Cricetulus griseus: one gene and its partners. The protein of the gene in region 4 interacts with the protein of the main gene of each other region in a pairwise test. Links are inferred from orthologs where the notes say so. Each region holds a gene or a part of one and is shown on either strand. Other genes may lie near its edges. The genes, in order: Rint1, Vps52, Ppp1r12c and CUNH1orf109.

Region 1 (5,569 bases), on a different chromosome or scaffold from region 4:
TAGAAAAGTTGTGGGAGAGCTGCCAAGGAGAACTGCTAACAGGAGTGGAACCAGCCCAAGAGAAAGAAGTATGTTACAGTCAATAAAACTGAACAGAATTGGAGATATGAAGTGCATCTTGAAATCAGACATGTTGAAGCCTGAGGTTCATGTGTATGTCCATGGACTGGGCTGCTGGTGGGGTCTATGTTGATGACTGAGGTCCATGCTATCAGGGGAGGCCAGATGTATGTTCATAGTCTGCTAATGCAGAGGCCCGTGCTAGTGTCTGTGGTCCAGGTTGCTACTGGAGGCCTGTGCTTGATGCTGATGTGTGGCCTGCACTGCCCCATGAGGCCATGTTGATGGCCATGGTCCATGCTGTTGCCAGAAACCATATGGCAGTCCATGACCTGTGCTCCCACTGACTGTGAAAGGCAAGGAAGCTACTTTTGATGGTGGACACACAGTTGAGAAAGAGAGTCATAGAGAGCTTGTGACAACACCTACCCACCCCCTACCCCACCCCCAACAAAGTAACAGCCTAGATAGTCAGCCATCAAAGAGAACTCTTAAAATTGTGATAAGGAAAAGACAGACATTGTATGTACTCACTCATATGTGGATTTTAGACATAGAGTAAAGGATTGCCAGCCTGTAGCCCAGGCTGCCAGAGAGGCTGGTAAACAAAGAGGACCCTAAGAGACACATACATAGTCCCCTGGAGAAGGGGAAAGGGGCAAGATCTTCTGAGCAAATTGGGAGCATGGGAGGAGGGGAGAGGGAACTAGGAGAATGAGAAGGGGAGAAGAGGAGGGGTGAGGAAGACATGATGGGACAGGGAGGTTGAGTTGGGGGAAGAACAGAAGAGAGCAAGATAAGAGATAATATAATAGAGGGAGACATTATAAGTTTAAAGAGAAATCAGGCACTAGGGAAATGTCTAGAGAGCTACAAAGATGACACCAACTAACAATCTAAGCAACAGAGGAGAGGCTACCTTAAATGCCTTTTCCTGATAATGAGATTGATGACTAATTCATATGCCATCGTACAGCCTTCATCTAGCAGCTGGTGGAAGTAGAAGCAGACACCCACAGCTAAACACTGGATTGGAATCCAGTTGCAGAGAAGGAGGAGTGATGAGCAAAGGGGTCCAGACCAGGCTGGGGAAACCCACAGAAACAGCTGACCTGAACAAGGGAGAGCTCATGGTCTCCAGACTGATAGCTGGGAAACCAGCATGGGACTGATCCAGACCCCCTGAATGTTGGTGTCAGTGAGGAGACCTCAGAAATCTATGGGGCCCTTGTAGTGGATCAGTACTTATCCCTAGCATAGGAATGGACTTTGGGAGCCCATCCCACATGGAGGGATACTCCCTGAGTCTAGACACACGGGGGTGGGCCTAGGCCCTATCTCAAAGAATATGACAGGCTTTGAAGACCCCCTATGGAAGGCCTCACCCTCCCTGAGGAGCAGAAAGGGTATGGGATAGGTAGGGCATTAGTTGGGGGGGCAGGGGAGGAGGGGGAGGGAGAGGGACCTGGGATTGACATGTAAAATAATTTTCTTTCTAATAAAAAAAAGGGGAAAAATTGTGATAAGGATGTTGAAGTGTAGTTTTCCACAATTGATCGATGGCTTTTGGCAGGAATGTGGGAGAACATGCTCCAGTGAGTATATGGGCAACACAAATTGGACTTGTGTGTTTTTGGTTTTTTTGTTTCTTCTTTTTCTTTTTGGTGGGTGGGGGTCACAAAGATGGTGGGAATGGACCTTGGGTGCATTATGTGAAATTCCTAAATAATCAATAAAAATATTTTGTTGGAAAAAAGAAAAGGATAGCCAGATATCTTGGTGCATACCTTTAATCCCAATACCAGGATTTTAGAGGTAGAGGCTAGAGAATCAGGGATTCAAAGTCATTCGTAGCTACATATGAAATTGGAGGCCAGCCTGGGCTCTCAAGCCCTTCTCACCAGAGCTACTAGCTTAAGGAACAGTTGTTTCAAAACATAATTTGCTTTTTTAAAATGAGACATGATTTATGTATAGCAAAACACACAGATCTAGATCTTAAGTATTCTTAAGTATACTGTTGGATGAGTCCTGACATGTTTTACCTTTGTAATCCTTAAGAGTTTAGAAATGGTCAGTTGAGATATTTCATAAAGACAGTAAAGTAGAGCTTTAGGGAAAACTACCTGTGGTGACAGTGCCAAACCCCTTCATGTGTTTTGTAAACGTTCTCCACAGACAGGTATAAGAATCTTCCCACAGCCCCCCGAAAGCTGCAGTTCCTGGAGTTACAGAAGGACCTAGTAGATGACTTTAGGATACGATTGACCCAGGTGATGAAAGAAGAGACCAGGGCTCCACTTGACTTCCGATACTGTGCAATTCTTAATGCCGTGAACTACATCTCAACAGTCCTGGCAGACTGGGCTGACAATGTTGTGAGTTAATGTGCTTTTATATTTCCATAAATAATGTATTAGTGCTGTGATCTTTAACATTTGAAACATTGACTCTGTTGCAAGCAAAAAAATTATGTTAGACAAAAAGCATAATGATGCCAAATTTAGAAAATGTGAATAAAGGTTTATCTCAGTCATATCTAAAACAGTTAAATAATACTAGTTATTTAATAACTTCACTCATTAGAGGGCTGGGGGTATAGCTCAGTAGGAGCATATAATTGCCAGGACCATTGATTGAGAGAAAGAAAGAGATAAAGGAGAAAACTATCAGGTGTCTTAGGTTAGCTGTAATCCCAGCACTTGGAAATATGGATCAGGAGCCTCAAGGTCATTCTTAGTGATGTAGTGACTTTCAGGCCAGCTTAAGTTTCTTGAGGTCCTACTTCAAAAACAAACAAAAGAAAGGAAACAAAGCAAACAAAGACAGACACACAGACTTCCATGAATAGCTATATGGCATGAACCATTTTTCTCTTCCAGCTTTGTACTCTGGAAATAATAATAGGCTAAATGCTAACACAGAAAAGTCATTATTTTATAATGATGTCAAAATCAATAAATTTAAATCAGTGGTAGAGTTCAGTGGCAGAGCATGGTGGAAAGTCCTAGTTTCATTTCCCAGCACTGCAAAGAAGAAAAAAACCTAACACTTGACTCTTTTGGATATCTTCAAAACAGGGCTATCTTAGTTATGGTTCCTGTTGCTGTAATAAAACACTGTGACCAAAAGCAACTTGTAGTGCATCATCCAGGGAGTCAGGGCAGGAACATGGAGACAGGAGCTGATGCAGAAGTCACAGAGGACTGTTGCTTATTGGATTGCTCTCCATTGCTTGCTCAGTCTGCTTTTTTAAAATAGCACCAAGGACCACCAAGCCAGGGGTGATGCCACCCACAAGGGCTGGAACTTCCTACATGAATAATTAAGAAAATGCAGTACAGGCCTGCCCACCGGCACATCTGGTGGGTGCATTATGTATCTGCCACTCTTACTGTTTTTTTTTTTAAAGATTTTTTTTTAATGTGTGCTAGTGTTTTGACTGCATGTAAGTGTGTGTACCTCATATGTGCAGTATCCACAGAGGCTAGAAGATCCCCCCAAACTGGAGTTACAGAGGGTTGTAAGCTACCATGTGGGTGCTGGCCACTGAACCTGGATCCTGTGAAAGAGTAGAAAGTGCTTTTAACTCCAGACTCTCTCTCCTTCTTACACTACTGGGTCCTGTGAAAGAGTAGTAAGTGCTTTTAACTCCAGACTCCCTCTCCTTATTCAAATCACTGCAGTATATGTTCAAACATTTAAGGTTTTTTTTTTTTCAAGATAACGTTTCTCTGTGGCTTTGGAGGCTGTCCTGGAACTAACTCTTGTAGACCAGGCTGGTCTCGAACTCACAGAGATCCACCTGCCTTCTGTGTGCTGGGACTAAAGGCGTGTGCCACCACCGCCCTGCCACATTTAAGTTTTAATCTTGTTATTAATCTAAACAAAATATATTGGCTGTTAGCTAAGTAATGGTAACCAGGTTTTCTGGTATGCATTCCACTCAAATATGCCTTGAGGGACTGAGGCTGTGGCTCAGTTTGTAGAATCATTGCCCCTATGCATAAGCCCCGGGTTTGATTCCACACAGCATAAAGTGGGCATGTGGCAAAGTCTGTGATACCAGCACATGGGAGGTAGAGGCAGGAAAATCAGAAGTTCTAGGTTATCCTCAGCTGCACAGGAAGTTCAAGTTTAGCCTGGGGTACATGAAATCCTCCCTCACAAAACAACAACAAAAGCCTTTATAGTTTCAACATTGGTTAATTTCTCTTAGATACTTTAGATCCAGTACTAAAGTGATTTCAGAGGGCCTGTGGGCTGACTTCTTGGGCAGGGTGCTGTTTATCTACATCCATAGATGTTCTAAAACTGAGATAACAGCTATGCATTTGGCTTTATACTTGTGTATAAGTACATAAAGTACATTTCATGACAGAAGCCATTCATAAGGATCTTAGATAACCATGCGATGGTGAAATATCCACTACACTGTAAAAACTATGATGAGCAAATAGGCACATTATAAACGTAAGCTGTTATATATCATAAAAACAAAATAGGCAAAAAACCCCAAATAGACAGATATACCACTTAAAAATATAGTATGTATAGGGGAATTAAAAAAATGATACGTTTGAGGTTAGGATTTAGCTCAGTGGCAGAGTTCTTGCTTAGTACAAATGAAGCCCTAGATTCAGTCTCTTGTAGACCAGGCTGGTCTCGAACTCACAGAAATCTGCCTGCCTCTGCCTCCCGAGTGCTGGGATTAAAGGCATTGGCCAACACCGCCTGGCTACATAACAAGATCTTAAAACAGTACAAAAAAGAAAACAAACAAAACTCTTACATGCACCAAAGCCAAAACAAAACCCAGACAACAAACCCACACAAAACTGCTACCAGTGTGCATGGAGAGAGCTTTAAGCCTCTGTATATGGCAGGTGAAGATGTAAGCTACTGCAGCTGCTGAGGAAGACAACCTGGCAGTTCTTTAGACAGCAAGATGGAATTAAAAATCCAGCAGTTCCACTCCTCCAGACAGGCAAAGACAAACAGGAACACCATTTCTCACAGAAAAAATGCACACACCATTGTTTTCAGAAACATTAAGCATAAGAGATACAAAATAGAAATAATCCAAACATCCAGCAGCTAGTGGAGTGGATAAAATGTAATATGTTTATATGATGGAGTATTTGGGGGTAATAAAAACAGATGAAGTACATAGTACATGCTATAGAACTAAGTGAAAGAAGTTGGTCATAAAGAATAATACTTCATTTGGTTCCATTTCCTTAAAATGTCCAGAATTGTCAAAACCATAGACAGAGAGTAGATTAGTGATTGCTTAGACTTGAAGGGAGTGTGGAGAAAATGAAAATACAGGTAATGAATGAGGGGTTTTGTTGCAGGAAGCTAGGACAGTATTGTAGAATTGTGATGGATACACAACTCTGAATTACTGAAACTATCAAATTGTAATAAAAAGGATTTATTTTGTGCATGCATGTGTGTTTCACAGCACACTTGGAGATCAGAGACCAACTTACTGGGGTTGGTTCTG
Region 2 (5,569 bases), on a different chromosome or scaffold from region 4:
TAGTGCCTGATTTCTCTGTAAACCTAAAATGTCTCCCTCTATTATGGTGTCTCCATTCTTGTTATCTTCTATTCTTCCCCTGACTCAGCCTTTCTGCTCCCACATCTCTCTCTTTTCCCCCTTCTCATTCTCCTAGCTCCCTCCCCCGTGTGTCAGGATCTTTGACCCACTAACTATGGCTCCCCTGAAAAAGCGCCCTCAACCCACTTTCAGGAGCAGGGATATGCCCTTGTTTTTTTTCTAGCGTTTCTTTCTGTATCTCGCACTCACTAATCTGTCCCTCTTCAGGGGGGTGTTTCTGGTCTCCAAGAGCCCCTGCAACTTGGGGAGTTGGATATCACCTCTGATGAATTCATCCTGGATGAAGTGGATGGTAAGTGGTGGCATGGGGTGGGGGCAAAGTAGCCAGCCCCCTTTATCCTTTAGGAATATAGTAGAGGACCCCCACTAGGTGACCCCCCATACTAACCCCTGCATGTTTTTTACTAATGTAGTGTAAAGTTGAATGAGAAGGGTTACTTTCTAATTTAGGCATAGCAAGAGTGGGGTAATGATGCAGCCCACTGTGATAAATTGCTGCATTGACAGTCTTGCTCTTTGGGATTATTAAGAAAAAACAAAGTGTGTATTTGAACATGGACATGTGCAGACAGCCAGTCTGATCTCTGGGACACTCGTACCACACACACACCATAGATTCATCCAGCAAAGAAAATCCAAATAAATCCAAGGCGGGTGAGAGGCCCTTCAGCTTCTCAGAGTGCCACACACTTTAAAGCCTCCGAGCCACGATTGGGAATTCCCATTTAATATTTTTGGCTTGTGGTTGACTAGACTATGAGGAACTGAAACAGCAGAAAGTCAAAGCGACTGTTCTTTTACCTTGAGAGGATGGGGGCTGGAAGGAAAGGGGAGATTGGTGTGCGGGTACCTGATGCTGGCAGAGGGGGGCGTGGCGCCGGACCCTAGTGATGAATGTCTGTTTCCAGTTCACATTCAGGCAAATCTGGAGGATGAGTTAGTGAAGGAAGCCCTCAAAACGGTGAGGTTCTCCGCTATGCCGATCTGTCCCCGCCCTCCTCTCCTCGGGGTCTTATGTGTCCCCTCTAGCCAGTCACTGAGTCTGTTCTGGTGTCCTTTCACTGTGGCTTCATCCTGACTGTTCCTGGTTTCCCCCAGGGTGTGGATCTGCGACACTATTCCAAGCAGGTGGAGCTGGAGCTGCAGCATATTGAGCAGAAATCCATCCGGGACTGTATCCTCCGCACAGGGGAAGACACGCGCTGTCACTGACCTGGGGTGTGTGGGACCCCGGGACTGTATCCTCCGCAGAGGGGAGACACGCGCTGTCACTGACCTGGGGTGTGTGGGACCCCGGGACTGTATCCTCCGCAGAGGGGAGACACGCGCTGTCACTGACCTGGGGTGTGTGGGACCCCGGAACTGTATCCTCCGCAGAGGGGAGACACGCGCTGTCACTGACCTGGGGTGTGGGACCCCGGGACTGTATCCTCCCCACAGGGGAAGACACGCGCTGTCACTGACCTGGGCTGTGGGACCCCGGGACTGTATCCTCCACAGAGGGGAAGAGAGCGCTGTCACTGACCTGGGGTGTGGGACCCCAGGACTGTATCCTCCGCACAGGGGAAGACACGCGCTGTCACTGACCTGGGGTGTGGGACCCCGGGACTGTATCCTCCGCAGAGGGGAGACACGCGCTGTCACTGACCTGGGGTGTGTGGGACCCCGGGACTGTATCCTCCGCAGAGGGGAGACACGCGCTGTCACTGACCTGGGGTGTGGGACCCCGGGACTGTATCCTCCCCACAGGGGAAGACACGCGCTGTCACTGACCTGGGCTGTGGGACCCCGGGACTGTATCCTCCGCAGAGGGGAAGAGAGCGCTGTCACTGACCTGGGGTGTGGGACCCCAGGACTGTATCCTCCGCACAGGGGAAGACACGCGCTGTCACTGACCTGGGGTGTGGGACCCCGGGACTGTATCCAACGCACAGGGGAAGACACGCGCTGTCACTGACCTGGGGTGTGGGAGCTGTGATGCAGGTAACCCGGTAGGGTGGCATCTCTCTCGGTCCCTTTGGGGACACTAGGGGGAGGCGATGCTGGTCCTCAGAGCTCTGTGTTCACTGTGAAGCCCTTGACTTTTGTGGGTCAGACATCCAAGAGAGTGAAAACATAGCGTCCCTGCACAATCAGATCACAGCCTGCGACGCTGTCCTGGAGGTAGGTGTCCCTCCCCTGTGGCCCCTGACACCCTCTGTTTTTTTTTTTGTTTTGTTTTGTTTTTTTGTTTTGTCAGCACTTTTGTTTCCTTGGGCAAATGGAGGTTTTCCATGCTCCTGAGCTGTTGGATACTGGGGTATTCACTCAGACACTTGGGTGACACACTTGTCCCTGCCAACCCTGTGGCATGCCTACAGTGTTTTCTGCCCTTCCCATAGCGCATGGAGCAGATGCTGGGAGCTTTTCAGAGCGACCTGAGCTCCATCAGCTCTGAGATCCGGACCCTTCAGGAGCAGTCAGGAGCCATGAACATCCGTCTTCGTAATCGACAAGCTGTTCGGGGGAAGCTTGGGGAACTTGTAGATGGGCTGGTGGTGCCCTCTACTCTGGTCACGTGAGTCGATGGTTTGAAGGGTCGTGATGTCCAGAGCAGGTGGTTGAGCTGGGGTACCTATCCAGTCTACAACATAGGTCCAGGCTGAGGTTGTCAAGTGCTGTTTAGGTACCAGGTGTGCTGGCTCAAGCCTGTAAGCACACGATTGGGAGGTCAGGCAGGGGGATTGCTGCAAGTCACCAGCCTGGGCCACAGAGTGGGACCTTCTAAAAAAAAAAGGTGCATTCTAGAGATTAATGGATGGATTATAATGTCAGATGTGTATCGGGGCCTGTGGAGAGGTGGGGCTCAGGAGTTGAAATCTTCGTACCTATGATGAAGGTATGAGACTGAGGAGAGGTAGACATGTCAGGAGGGGTGTGGCTTGCGTCTGTTTCAGGACTGTCGAGTGCCCCTTCAGATCACCCCTCTCCTCCCTGCTCTGCAGAGCCATTCTGGAAGCTCCAGTGACAGAGCCCAGGTTTCTGGAACAGCTGCAGGAACTGGACGCCAAGGCAGCTGCGGTCAGAGAGCAGGAGGCCAGAGGCACAGCGGCCTGCGCAGACGTCAGAGGCGTGCTGGACCGGCTCCGGGTCAAGGTGGGGAGGGGACCGCTAGAATCAACCCCAGGAACTCACTCTGCTCCCCTCAGTGCGGGGCATCGTTGGCCCTCTGGTTTCCCTGAAAATCTACAGAGGCTGGAGCTGTGGCTCAGCGGGTAGTGGGCTTGCTTAGGGCGCCCGAAGCCCTGGGATCCACCCCCAGCTCTGCAAACATGGGCATGGTGGCCCTTGTCTACTGTGCTAGAACTCATGAGATGACAGGAAGAAGATCTGAAGCTTCAGAGTGATCTCTGCGGCACAGGGCGTTGTGGGCTTTTACTGTGAGGAAGGAAGGAAGGAGGTGACAGACAGGACCGTGGAGGGGAGGGAGAGAATACTTCCGGTGTGTACAGAGGTACATGAGACTCTGTCTCAAAACCAAACAGTGCTGGCTTTGGCAGCATAGAAACTCAAATTAGAGCACTACAGAGAAGATTAGCATGGCCTCTGTGTAAGGACACAAAAATTGATAAAGCATTCCATATTTAAAAGGGAAAAAAGAAACAGATAACCTGAAAATGTGAGGCCAGGCATGGTGGTAAGACATTTTAGCCCTAGCACTGGGGAGGGAGAGGCAGATGGACCTGTGTGAGTTCCAGGACAGCCTGGACTACACACAGAAACCCCGACTCAACAAAAGTAAATAAATAATAACACAGCACACATCGGAAGTATTCTCTCCCTCCCCTTCGCCGTCACGTCTGTCTCCTCCTTCCTCCACACAGTAAGAGCCCACAACATCATGACCTGTTTGTCCCCTCACCTAGGCGGTGACGAAGATCCGAGAGTTCATCCTCCAGAAGATTTATTCATTCAGAAAGCCGATGACCAACTATCAGATCCCCCAGACGGCCCTGCTGAAGTACAGGTCGCCACCCCGGGACGGCCTGTGAGCTTCTTAACGGCCCAGCATGGATGTCCAGGGTCTGACTCGCCCTGGCCCTTCCAGGTTCTTCTATCAGTTCCTGTTGGGCAACGAGCGAGCAACAGCCAAGGAGATCAGGGATGAGTACGTGGAGACGCTGAGCAAGATCTACCTGTCTTACTTCCGCTCCTATCTGGGGCGGCTCATGAAAGTGCAGGTGAGCCAGGCAGGGACAGGCGGGGACAGGTGTCTGTAGGCAGGGGCTTGGAGGAGGGACTGAGTTCCTCACCTGCTGGTGGTGGGCAGCCATGGTTGAGCTCTCTGTTGTTTTCTCTAGTACGAGGAAGTTGCTGAGAAGGACGATCTGATGGGTGTGGAAGACACAGCAAAGAAAGATATCCTGGACCAGGGAGCCTCGCGTCAGGCTCACCTCCCTCAAGTCAGGCTCCACCTCCCTCAAGTCAGGCTCCACCTCCCTCAAGTCAGGCTCCACCTCCCTCAAGTCAGGCTCCACCTCCCTCAAGTCAGGCTCCACCTCCCTCAAGTCAGGCTCCACCTCCCTCAAGTCAGGCTCCACCTCCCTCAAGTCAGGCTCCACCTCCCTCAAGTCAGGCTCCACCTCCCTCAAGTCAGACTCCACCTCCCTCAAGTCAGACTCCACCTCCCTCAAGTCAGGCTCCACCTCCCTCAAGTCAGGCTCCACCTCCCTCAAGTCAGGCTCCACCTCCCTCAAGTCAGGCTCCACCTCCCTCAAGTCAGGCTCCACCTCCCTCAAGTCAGGCTCCACCTCCCTCATGTCAGGCTCCACCTCCCTCAAGTCAGGCTCCACCTCCCTCAAGTCAGGCTCCACCTCCCTAATTCAGGCTCCACCTCCCTCAAGTCAGGCTCCACCTCCCTCAAGTCAGGTTCACCTCCCTCAAGTCAGGCTCCACCTCCCTCAAGTCAGGCTCCACCTCCCTCAAGTCAGGCTCCACCCCTCTCAAGTCAAGCTCCACCTCCCTCAAGTCAGGCTCCACCTCCCTCAAATCAGGCTCCACCTCCCTCAAGTCAGGCTCCACCTCCCTCAAGTCAGGCTCCACCTCCCTCAAGTCAGGCTCCACCTCCCTCAAGTCAGGCTCCACCTCCCTCAAGTCAGGCTCCACCTCCCTCAAGTCAGGCTCCACCTCCCTCAAGTCAGGCTCCACCTCCCTCAAGTCAGACTCCACCTCCCTCAAGTCAGACTCCACCTCCCTCAAGTCAGGCTCCACCTCCCTCAAGTCAGGCTCCACCTCCCTCAAGTCAGGCTCCACCTCCCTCAAGTCAGGCTCCACCTCCCTCAAGTCAGGCTCCACCTCCCTCAAGTCAGGCTCACCTCCCTCAAGTCAGGCTCACCTCCTGTCAGGCTCACAGTGGGGATGCCTGGCTCCAGCCCACAGGCCTCTGCTTACCCTGTGTCTGGGATGTAACCTTTGAGGATGTGAGAGAGAGCGAGAGCTCCCCTCCCAG
Region 3 (5,569 bases), on a different chromosome or scaffold from region 4:
CCAAGAGCCACAGGTGCCCTCCAACAGCAAGCACAGAAGGTAAGAGATGCCTAGGCCTGGGGTGGGTCGGACTCGCCCCCAGACTTGGACACGGACACCCTGTCCTCCTAGGAGCTCCGTGTGTCGTTTGAGCAGCCGTGAGAAGATCTCCCTGCAGGATCTGTCGAAGGAGCGCCGGCCTGGTGGGGCCGCGGGCCCCTCTCTTGGGGATGAGGATGAGGGAGAAGAAGAGGCAGCTGGTAGGGATGCTGGACCCTGGGTCTGAGGAAGGAGCTGGACTTGTGGGTCCCCAATCTCAGAGGCGGCCGGCCTCTCCTGTGACCCCCCTCTCCTGTTCCTGCACACAGATCACCCTCCTGTGCAACCAAGAGCCCTCAATGGCGTGTCTTCTCCTGTGTCCTCCAGCCCCAAGAGCCCTGTGGTGAGCCTGAGCGCCCTGAGCAGATGTGAGGTTTGGGGCAGCGGGTGGGATACGGTAAATACTTCTGCTTCCGCTGAGGAAGGTGGCTTTTTGACTTGGTTCTTAGGTCCTTGTGGACCAAGAAGTAATGTTTTTTTTTTTTTTTTTTTGGTGGCACCTGCCTGGGCTGTGGTTTACTGTAATTCTCCTGGAGTTACACTCTTAGGCTCTGAAGAGAAGGGTCATTGCTTTGGCTGTGGTTTACTGTAATTCCCCTGGAGCTACACGCGTAGGCTCTGAGGAGAAGGGCCATTGCTTTGGCTGTGGTTTACTGTGATTCTCCTGGAGTTACACGCGTAGGCTCTGAGGAGGAGGGTCATTGCTTTGGCTGTGGTTTACTGTAATTCCCCTGGAGTTACACGCGTAGGCTCTGAGGAGAAGGGTCATTGCTTTGCTCAGTAATGAAGACCTTCTTCCTCTCCCAGCCGCCAGAAGAGGCTCCCTTCTCCAGGCGCGGCGGTCTCCAGAAGACAGGAAGCTCTGGTGCCCTGGGTCCCTCAGAGAGGAGGGGTGCAGAGGGGGTTCTCGGTCTGCAGCGCTCAGCCTCCTCCTCCCTCCTAGAAAAGGCCTCCTCTCAGGTAGGTGCCGTGAAGTGTGTGGGGTACAGGCTCCTGCCTTGGGGCAGACAGTGCCTCCTTTGCTTCTCTCCTGTCTCCACAGGCCAGGGAACCCCGTCTTGCCAGAATAACCCCTACCCCTGCCCAGAAAGTGCCAGAGCCCTCTACCCTGTAAGTACCAGTGGCTGGGGCAGGGGCACAGGTCTGGTGCCATCCTGGCATTTGAGATCTGAGAAAGCCCTTAGGGTGCATCAAATAATTGCTTATTCTCTTTATTTTTTCCAAGCACCTTTTCTCCCCAAGCTCCACACTGGTCTCTTTGGCTGCTGTTTGTTTTATCTGTTTTGCCCAGAAATGGCTCATCAGCAGCCATGATTGGCTCCTTCTCTGTGGTCTCTCCTATGCCTGACACAGAATGCGGGCTTGAGGAATATTTGCTGATGAATGAATGAATCCATACAGGTGTGAGGCTGCCATGCCTCCTTCTTCGGATCACTCCGCCCCATCCTCCAGGAGGGAGCCTGGATCCCCAGTGAAGCCAAATGCCCTCGTAGCCTCTGCAGCAGCCCTACCTGACTCCAGGGATCGGCGGAGGTAAAGAGGCTAGGGGAAGACAGTGTTTAGGGGTCTCTGGGGCTCTGGGTAGGCTCCTGGGGTCCTGTTTGCCCAGTTGACACGTTCTCTGCCAGAATGTGCACTCCCCTAAGGTGTCATTCACAGTGCGACAGCACCCAAGGGGACATTCTCCACTCAGGTCCTACCAGATGCCTGTGCGTGATGAAGAGTCCGAGTCTCAGCGGAAGGCTCGCTCCCGCCTTATGCGCCAGTCTCGGAGGTCTACACAGGTGTGGGATGGGGCTGGGGCTGTGCTCCCGGGTCTGAGGGAGGAGGGCCGGGGTCTTGAACTTGAGTCCTGTGGAAGTCTAGGCCCTTTTTCCTTGACCGAGTTCTCTACACTAGGGCGTGACCTTGACAGACTTGAAGGAAGCAGAGAAGGTGGCAGGGAAGGCTCCAGAGCCAGAGCAGCCTGCCCTGCCCAGCCTGGTGAGCAGGGTCAGGTGAACTGGGGCGGGTGGACCCGTCTCCCTGTTTCTGACTGTGCTCCTCCCCGGCAGGACCCTTCTCGGAGACCTCGGGTCCCTGGCGTGGAGAACGCTGAGGGCCCTGCCCAGAGAGGTGAGGTCGGCTTTCTGGGAAGTCGCTCCCCAAGGAGCCATCCTGTCTCCCCATAAAGTGTCTTTGTTCACTGGGGGCTAAGTCAGGTTCCCTGCACAGTAGACAGGGGCCCCTATGGTGGTGTCTGAGCTGATTCCCACTGGTTCCCCAGCAGAGGCGCCCGACGGGCAGGGCCAGGGACCACAGGCGGCCAGGGAGCATCGAAAGGTCGGCCACGAGCGAAGGGGGCCCGCAGAGGTGAGGATGCTGTGTGGAGGCCGGGCGGGCTGGAGGGAGGGGCCGCAGAGGTGAGGATGCTGTGTGGAGGCCGGGCGGGCTGGAGGGAGGGGCCGCAGAGGTGAGGATGCTGCTGTGTGGAGGCGGGGCGGGCTGGAGGGAGGGGCCGCGGAGGTGAGGATGCTGTGTGGAGGCGGGGCGGACTGGAGGGAGGGGCGCGGAGGTGAGGATGCTGCTGTGTGGAGGCCGGGCGGCCTGGAGGGAGGGGCCGCAGAGGTGAGGATGCTGTGTGGAGGCCGGGGCGGGCTGGAGGGAGGGGCCGCGGAGGTGAGGATGCTGTGTGGAGGCCGGGCTGGAGGGAGGGGTCGCGGAGGTGAGGATGCTGCTGTGTGGAGGCGGGCGGCTGGAGGGAGGGGCCGCAGAGGTGAGGATGCTGCTGTGGAGGCCGGGGCGGGCTGGAGGGAGGGGCCGCGGAGGTGAGGATGCTGTGTGGAGGCGGGCGGGCTGGAGGGAGGGGCCGCGGAGGTGAGGATGCTGTGTGGAGGCGGTGTGGAGGTGAGGATGCTGCTGTGTGGAGGCGGCGGCTGGAGGGAGGGGCCGCAGGTGGTGCTGTGTGGAGGCGGGGCGGGCTGGAGGGAGGGGCCGCGGAGGTGAGGATGCTGCTGTGGAGGCGGGCGGGCTGCTGAGGCTGCCGCGGAGGTGAGGATGCTGTGTGGATGGAGGTGAGGATGCTGTGAGGCGGGGCGGCTGGAGGGAGGGCCGCGGAGGTGAGGATGCTGTGTGGAGGCCGGGGCGGGCTGGAGGGAGGTGGAGGTGAGGATGCCAGGTGAGGATGCTGCAGGGCTGAGGATGCCTGGAGGTGAGGATGCTCTGTGAGGATGCTGTGTGGAGGCCGGGTGGGCTGGAGGGAGGGCCGCGGAGGTGAGGATGCTGCTGTGTGGAGGCCGGGCGGGCTGGAGGGAGGACGTTGCATGGAGACTGAACTCTCAGGGCTCTTCTGCAGGGGGAGGAGGCGGGGCCGGCAGAACGGAGCCTGGAGTGCAGGTAGGCCGGGTCATGCGTGGGGGCTGGGGCACCCCTCGGGCAGGGCCTGGGCCCTAAGGCCTGTGGCTTCTGTCCAGCACCGTGGATGGCGGCTCCACTGCCCGTAGACAGCGTTTGCAGAGAGACCTCAATCCAGAATCCAAGCAGGAACAGGAAGAACCCGATGGAAGCTTCCGGAAGGTGCCGCATGCTACCTCCTGCCCCACCCCACCCTGTCCTGGCCCCTTCCCGGGCCCTTCTGAGCCTGCCTGCTTCCTCTGTGTCCCTAGCTGTACATGGAGCTTCGGAGGGAGAACGAGCGGCTTCGTGAGGCCCTGACAGAGACCACCCTGCGGCTGGCACAGCTCAAGGTGGAGCTTGAGCGGGCCACGCAGGTGCAGATACTGAGACCTAAGAACCAGCTGTTGGGGGCAGTGGGAGTCAGAGCTCCAGTGGCAAGGGGCCTGGCCGTGGCTGGGAGGTTGGAGGTCCCCCACCCCGGGGGGGGGGCAGGGCTCTGATGTCCTAGGGGTAAGAAGCAGCTCCTGACGCCCAGTCTTCTCTGCCCTTACCAGCGGCAGGAACGCTTTGCCGAGAGGCCCGCCCTCCTGGAGCTGGAGAGATTCGTGAGTTTGGGCCGCTGGGGTGGTGTCCCGCCCTTGCCCTGTCCCCTGCCCTTACCCTGCTTCTGAGCCCAGCCCATTCCTGCAGGAGCGCAGGGCCCTGGAGCGCAAGGCCGCAGAGCTGGAGGAGGAGCTGAAGGTAACGAGCTTGTGAAGGGCGGTGGCCAGAGCCCACCCTGCCCCGCCCTGCCCAGCTGACTCCACCCTGCCCCCTAGGCCCTGTCCGACCTCCGCGCTGACAACCAGCGGCTCAAGGATGAGAATGCAGCACTGATCCGCGTCATTAGCAAGCTCTCCAAGTGACTCTGCAGGGGCTCCCGCACCGTATTTATACAGCTGCTTTTGACACACGCACCCCTTCCCCCGAGTGAACATGAGTGACAGGGCTCCGGGGGAAGTTGTTGAGAAGCCATAACCTCCTCTCGGGACCTCAGAACCCGGAGGAAAGCACAGAGTCCCCAGAACCAGGGTGGAGGTGGGAGGCTGAGCCAGGTAGGGAAATGTTGCCGAGAGTGGGCAGGCACCAGAGATGGGACCAGGAAGGAAGCAAGGACCAAGGAAGCCAGGATCAGTATCCAGGAGCAGAGTGGCTGCCCCGGGCCCACCTCACGTGTGATGCTACCCAGTATCCCTTCCCTCCCCAGCAGGGATCCAGGAATGTGCCAAGAGCCCCACTGGCCTCTGCCAGGTGGGCCTGTATATAGGGTCCGTGTGCAATAGGGAGGGTTGTCTTCTATTTTTGCTGCCTCCTTCCCACCCATTGTCTGGGGAGGGGGAGAAGGTATTTTTGAGACAAAGCACAGGCACCACAAATAAAGTCGTGACATTGCCACTCAGTGACTTGTCTCCCCCTGGGTGTGGGGCACTGGTTCCTGCTTGTATACTCAGCCTGTGTATCTGACTGAAACCGCTCATCCATTTGGATGAGGGCCAGTGGGTGGCTGGGAGCTTGCTCACAGGTGTGGGGAGGGGAGTTTGCTCGAGTGAGCAGCTGGAGAGAAAGAGCCCCAGGTGAGGTAGGGGGGGTCAGAAGGAAGCCTGTGACCTGATCCGGGTGCTCACATTGACCCTCAGTGCTTTGGAAGTGAGCGGAGTCAGTGGCTTAACATTGAAAAGGTAGGATGGCCAACATAGGAAACTGCAAGTCTAGGTTTTCTGGGAAAGGAGTAGGTGATGGTAAGTAGTCCTTCGTGGCCACAGTGACTGGGGCAGAGCCAGGAATCAGTCTTGAGATGGATCGCGTGGTGCCTCCTCCATCCTGACAGTCAGGAATGGGCTGTTCTGCCAGCTGGCGTCACAGGAGTGAACAGCTTGGTCCAGCAGCCAGTGCACTGAGGAAGGTTGCCACTGTGTGGATTTCAGCTACAGTGCTGTGGAGAAGGGGAGAGTGCGGAGTGTGTGTGTGTGTGTGTGTGTGTGTGTGTGTGTGTGTGGTGGTGTGCCATGCTGTCTGAGGTGAACTGTGTATATGTGGTGTGTGGTATGGCTGGTGTGGGTTATAGGGTGTATGGTGT
Region 4 (4,598 bases):
CTGCTGTGAGTGCTGAGAGGCAGGCATGAGAAGGGGAATGTGTGCTGTCAGATGTGGTGAGTGCTAAGAACAAAGCAGGGAGACAAGGTAGGAAGGGTGGGCTGTGGGTTTTTTTTTCTCGAGACAGGGTTTCTCTGTGTAGTCCTGGCTGTCCTGGCCTCTGTCTCCAGAGTGTCAGGGTTAAAGGTGTATACCACCACCACCCAGCTTGGGGTTGTGATTTTAATAGTGTCAAACAGGCACCCATGAGGCAGCGATGGGTATGACATTTGAGCAAAGTTTTGAAAGAGTGAAGGAATGAGCCATGTGGATATTTGGGAGAAGAATGGTCCAGGCAGAAGGTACATGGAGTGAAAAGGCCTGTGCGGGAGCATGCCTGGTATATTTTGGACATAGCCATGAGGTCTGTGTAATGAGGGCAGGGCATGAGGATAGTGACATGGGACCTTGGTTTTTTGAGAAGGATTTTTTGTTTGTTTGTTTGTTTTGTTTGTTTTGGTTTTTCGAGACAGGGTTTCTGTGTAGCTTTTGAGCCTATCCTGGCACTCGTTCTGGAGACCAGGCTGGCCTCGAACTCAGAGATCCACCTGCCTCTGCCTCCCAAATGCTGGGATTAAAGGCTTGCGCCACCAACGCCCAGCTGGGTTTTGGCTGTTCTTTTGAGATGAATGTTCTCAGAAGATTTTAAGCAGAATAGTGTGGCCAAGGCTTATGCTTAGCATTCATGAGGAGGTCAGAGGATAACTTAACAGAATGGGTTCTCTCCTTCCACCATATGGCTCCCATTTAGTTCATTGGATTTGGCAGCAAGCACCTTCACCCAGTGAACCATCTTGGCAGCCCCTGGCATGGATGCTTAATCCTGTATCCCCTCCTGACTTTCCTCTATCTCCAGATTCTCTCTCTGAGCTGTCTGTGGTTATGTACCACAGTCATCTTCATGAGGTCTAGGTCTAGTTGTGTTCAACCAGGAGTTGTCAGCTCTTCTGTTGCTGGTGGGGTAGGGCTCAGAATCCCTACCTTGTCCTCCACTGCTGCCTTTATACTGGCTGAAGCCACCTTTCAACTACTTTCTACTTTAGCCAACCGTGTCAGGACACTGGGAGGCTTGCAGTGCCAGTCCACTCCATGCTTCCTCTGCCCTGTGCCTTTGTTTCTCTGTTTCTTCCAGTGGTGTGTTCATCTGAACTGCCAGACTTTTGTTTTTGTGTTTGTTACCATTTTGATTTCTCTAAATAGTGCTGGGATTAAAGGCGTGGGCCTCTACAGCTGACTAGAACTGCCACTGAGTTGTTTTGTTTTGTTATTTTTTTAATAATGTATTTACTTTTATTTTATGTGCATTGGTGTTTTGCCTGCATGTATGTCTGTGTATTTTGCCGGCATGTATGTCTTAATAACCATGTATGTCTCAGATCTTGAAGTTACAGATAGCTGTTAGCTGCCATGTGGGTGCTGGGAACTTGTGTTCTCTGTTAGAGCAGTCGATGCTTTTAACCACTGAGCCATCACTCCAGTCCCCTGTCACTGAGTTTTATCTTTCAAGTCACTTTGCTCTTCTGTCTGGTCCACCCTCAGCCTGTGAGATCCGAGTCCCTTTCCTAGTAGCATCAAGTTGTACTGCGGTACTGGTGCTCATCATTCCTCTTGGCACTGGTGAACCCTGCCCACCTGGGAAGGTATATTGATGTCACTTTTAGCTTCCCAGATTTCCTTTTTTTGAACAGTCCTTAACTTCTGGGAAGGTACCTGAAGAGAAAATACCTCCTTTCCTCCATCCACTGGGGAGACTTGGCCAGCATCCAAGCACTGCCTAAGGCCTGGAACCAAATTTCAGAAGATGAGTGCCAAACCCTTGTGCCAGGTACTGGTTTCCATTAGTTCCCCATGCTGCCTCCCTATCCCTGTTGCTGCTTGCCTCTTTGGAGGTGTTAGAGACAACCCTGCTGTGCTTTGGGGCCTTAATAACCCTGTCTTGTACCCCTCTTCCTGTTCTAGATATCCTGGTGAGCGTCTCCTTCTTCCTGGAGGAGCCAGGATGCTGCACAGTGTCTGGAGATCAGGAGTCCCGCAGTTGAGTGCAGCCCTCAGCTTTCTAAGTGAACCTCAGCACCACAGCCTGATGGACTGAGACACCAGTTCCTATGGTAGAGGTCCCTAGCATGACTTCTTGCTAGGCCATGGCCAAGGATCCATGACCACTGCACCTGCGGCTCTGGGAGGTGGATGGGGTGGAGGAAACAGGAAAGGCAGCGCTGATAAGCGGTGTCCATCGCTATCAGTAGGCTTGAAGTGGCAAGGAAGGAAAGGACAGGAGGCAAAGGTCCACAGCTGCCTCCGCCTCTGCGTCAGCTGAAGCACTTTGGTTGACTCAGGTCTTGGTTATGTGTGTATCACTATCTTGAGTCCTTAGTGGTTTAAAGATAGGAGTGGGTCTAGGAGTGAAGGGCAGTAGCAGTGTGTGTGTTGCACACATGAAGCCCGATTCAATCCAAAAAAGGGACGGATTGAAGGAAAGGGAGCATTTAAAATGTTTATCCCTTCCCAGTAGGAATCAAGCCAATTTCCATTTCCAAAGCCAGCCACCAGGGGGAGATGGTGCAGCGTGAGCGGTTCTGAATGCTTTGTCCTGGAGAGGTCCCCTGTTGCTGTTAAAAGTAACTGAGGGGGGCTGGAGAGATGGCTCAGCAATTAAGAACACTGGCTGCTTTTGAGGACCCACATGGCAGCTCACAACTGTCTGTAACACCAGCTCCAGGGGATCTGACACCTTCACACCAATGCACATAAAAGAAATAAGTTAAATAAAGTTAAAAAAAAAAAAGTAACTTAGTGCTGGGAATATCAAACCCACCACTGGTGAGGCAAATACAGGTGAGCTCTGTGATTTTGAGATCATCCTGGTCTACATAGCCTCCAGACTAACCAAGACTACATACTGAGGTGCTGTCTCAAAAAAAAAAAAAAAAAAAAAAAAAAAGGAAAAAAAAAGGAAAAAGAAAAGCGGGAAAGAAAGAAGTTAACTGAGAAGAGTGATACTACTACTCAGATCCAGGGTTGTGACCTCTCATTGGCTATATTCTTCTGGGTTTGGAGTGACTGCTCAGGTAGGCAAATATGCCAGCTGATTAGTTGGCATATGCCATTGATTGTTAGTTGTGATTGATTGTTTGACCTGGGGAGGGAGTCTCAACAAGGAATGTTGTAGATTTGGGTGGCCTGCAGGCAAGCCTGCAGAATTTTCTTAATTGTGGTGAAAAGAGCCATCCTGAATGTGGTGTCATTTCATGGCTGGGCCCTAGATGGAATGAGAGAGCAGGCTGAGCACTAGCAGACATGCATTAATCCATTGTTCTTTACCATGGGTGTCATGTGACCAGCTGCTCCAAGTGCTTGCAGCCTTGATGTTTCTGCAATGATGGACTGTACCCTCAAATTATGAGCCTAATAAACCCTTTCTCCCTTCAGTTGCACTTGTCTGTGTTTTAGGGTTCTCTAAAGGAACAGAACTGATAGAATACATACATATATATGGGGGGGAAGAGAGGGAGGGAGGGGGATATTGGAGTGAGAGGGAGGGCAGGCAAGCCTAATGCAAAAGCTTTCTTCTTCCATGTGCTTTTATGTGGTCCAGACTTGGGATGGGTCTTCCCACCTCAAATGATCCAGATTTAGGGTGGGTCTTCCCACCCCTAATGATCCAGTCAAGAAAATCCCTCACAGACATGCCCAGTTGCGTGGGTTTTGGGTTTTAGTTGATTCCAGCTGTGGTCAAGTTGACAGCCAAGATTGGCCATCATACACAGTAACAGGAAATAAGCTGAGAAGCAGCCTTGAGTCATTGATCAGAGCCATACTCACCCTCTGTGCAGTGGCCACTTGCCTTGGGATCCCAGCTGGTAGAAGTCAAGGCTGCCATGAACAGGACTTAATACAGAGGATGGATACATTTAAAAAGAAAGTGGCTTTGTTTAGTTTTGTTTGAAACAGATACTTAATGGTGTTTGGTAATAACTTACTTAAATAGAATTGTTCTTTTTTTCTTCACTCTTTTGTTTATTTGTTTTTTGTTTTTCCCACAGGGTTTCAGGGTTTCTCTGTAGCTTTGGAATCTGTCCTGGAACTCACTCTGTAGACCAGGCTGGCTTCAAATTCACAGAGATCCACCTGCTTCTGCCTCCTGAGTGCTTAGATTAAAGGCGTGCACCATCACAGCCTGGCTGTTTTCTTCACTCTTAGTTTTTCTACTAAAAATGCTATCTTTTCTCTTTTTTTCTTTTACTAAGAATGCATTTAAGTTCCTGATGCCTGTGGAGGCCAGAGGAGGGCTTTGGATCTCCTAGAACTAAAGCTATAGATGGTTGTAAGCTGCCATGTGGGTGCTGGGAACTGAACCTGAGTCTTCTGCTAGAACAGCAAGTGCCCTAAACCACTGAGACAGCTCTCCAGTCCCTAAAATGACAACCTTTTCATTATTTTGGATAAAATAAATATGATTTACTTGTTGAATAAGGTACACATAACCTAAAGTGTAAAATGTACACAGATATATTTAGTGAAAAATTTTCCCCCATCTGCCCACTTCTCTTCATTGCAGA

What was found.
Region 1: the proteins of CUNH1orf109 (region 4) and Rint1 interact in binary tests that used the Homo sapiens proteins (3 or more experiments, as listed by UniProt). The two-hybrid records come from large-scale screens. The link is inferred for Cricetulus griseus from reciprocal best matches to the Homo sapiens genes AIRIM and RINT1.
Region 2: the proteins of CUNH1orf109 (region 4) and Vps52 interact in binary tests that used the Homo sapiens proteins (3 or more experiments, as listed by UniProt). The two-hybrid records come from large-scale screens. The link is inferred for Cricetulus griseus from reciprocal best matches to the Homo sapiens genes AIRIM and VPS52.
Region 3: the proteins of CUNH1orf109 (region 4) and Ppp1r12c interact in binary tests that used the Homo sapiens proteins (3 or more experiments, as listed by UniProt). The two-hybrid records come from large-scale screens. The link is inferred for Cricetulus griseus from reciprocal best matches to the Homo sapiens genes AIRIM and PPP1R12C.

Annotation. Positions count from the first base shown.
Region 1 is NW_023276806.1:170,797,675-170,803,243, reverse strand, and holds part of Rint1 (RAD50-interacting protein 1), read left to right. Parts: intron 1-2,238; coding exon 2,239-2,438; intron 2,439-5,569. UniProt on the Homo sapiens protein: Involved in regulation of membrane traffic between the Golgi and the endoplasmic reticulum (ER); the function is proposed to depend on its association in the NRZ complex which is believed to play a role in SNARE assembly at the ER.
Region 2 is NW_023276806.1:232,053,509-232,059,077, reverse strand, and holds part of Vps52 (vacuolar protein sorting-associated protein 52 homolog), read left to right. Parts: intron 1-288; coding exon 289-373; intron 374-989; coding exon 990-1,042; intron 1,043-1,179; coding exon 1,180-1,255; intron 1,256-2,176; coding exon 2,177-2,244; intron 2,245-2,462; coding exon 2,463-2,638; intron 2,639-3,065; coding exon 3,066-3,216; intron 3,217-3,604; exon of another isoform or gene 3,605-3,708; intron 3,709-3,986; coding exon 3,987-4,087; intron 4,088-4,168; coding exon 4,169-4,301; intron 4,302-4,421; coding exon 4,422-4,479; intron 4,480-5,569. UniProt on the Homo sapiens protein: Acts as a component of the GARP complex that is involved in retrograde transport from early and late endosomes to the trans-Golgi network (TGN).
Region 3 is NC_048602.1:23,163,761-23,169,329, reverse strand, and holds the end of Ppp1r12c (protein phosphatase 1 regulatory subunit 12C), read left to right. Parts: coding exon 1-39; intron 40-111; coding exon 112-239; intron 240-347; coding exon 348-421; intron 422-885; coding exon 886-1,038; intron 1,039-1,120; coding exon 1,121-1,188; intron 1,189-1,479; coding exon 1,480-1,611; intron 1,612-1,771; coding exon 1,772-1,862; intron 1,863-1,977; coding exon 1,978-2,061; intron 2,062-2,132; coding exon 2,133-2,193; intron 2,194-2,344; coding exon 2,345-2,430; intron 2,431-3,412; coding exon 3,413-3,453; intron 3,454-3,530; coding exon 3,531-3,633; intron 3,634-3,722; coding exon 3,723-3,827; intron 3,828-4,007; coding exon 4,008-4,058; intron 4,059-4,143; coding exon 4,144-4,194; intron 4,195-4,271; coding exon 4,272-4,358; 3' UTR 4,359-4,891; downstream 4,892-5,569. UniProt on the Homo sapiens protein: Regulates myosin phosphatase activity.
Region 4 is NC_048595.1:28,111,164-28,115,761, reverse strand, and holds the end of CUNH1orf109 (uncharacterized protein C1orf109 homolog), read left to right. Parts: intron 1-1,745; coding exon 1,746-1,864; intron 1,865-1,998; coding exon 1,999-2,078; 3' UTR 2,079-3,467; downstream 3,468-4,598. UniProt on the Homo sapiens protein: Part of the 55LCC heterohexameric ATPase complex which is chromatin-associated and promotes replisome proteostasis to maintain replication fork progression and genome stability.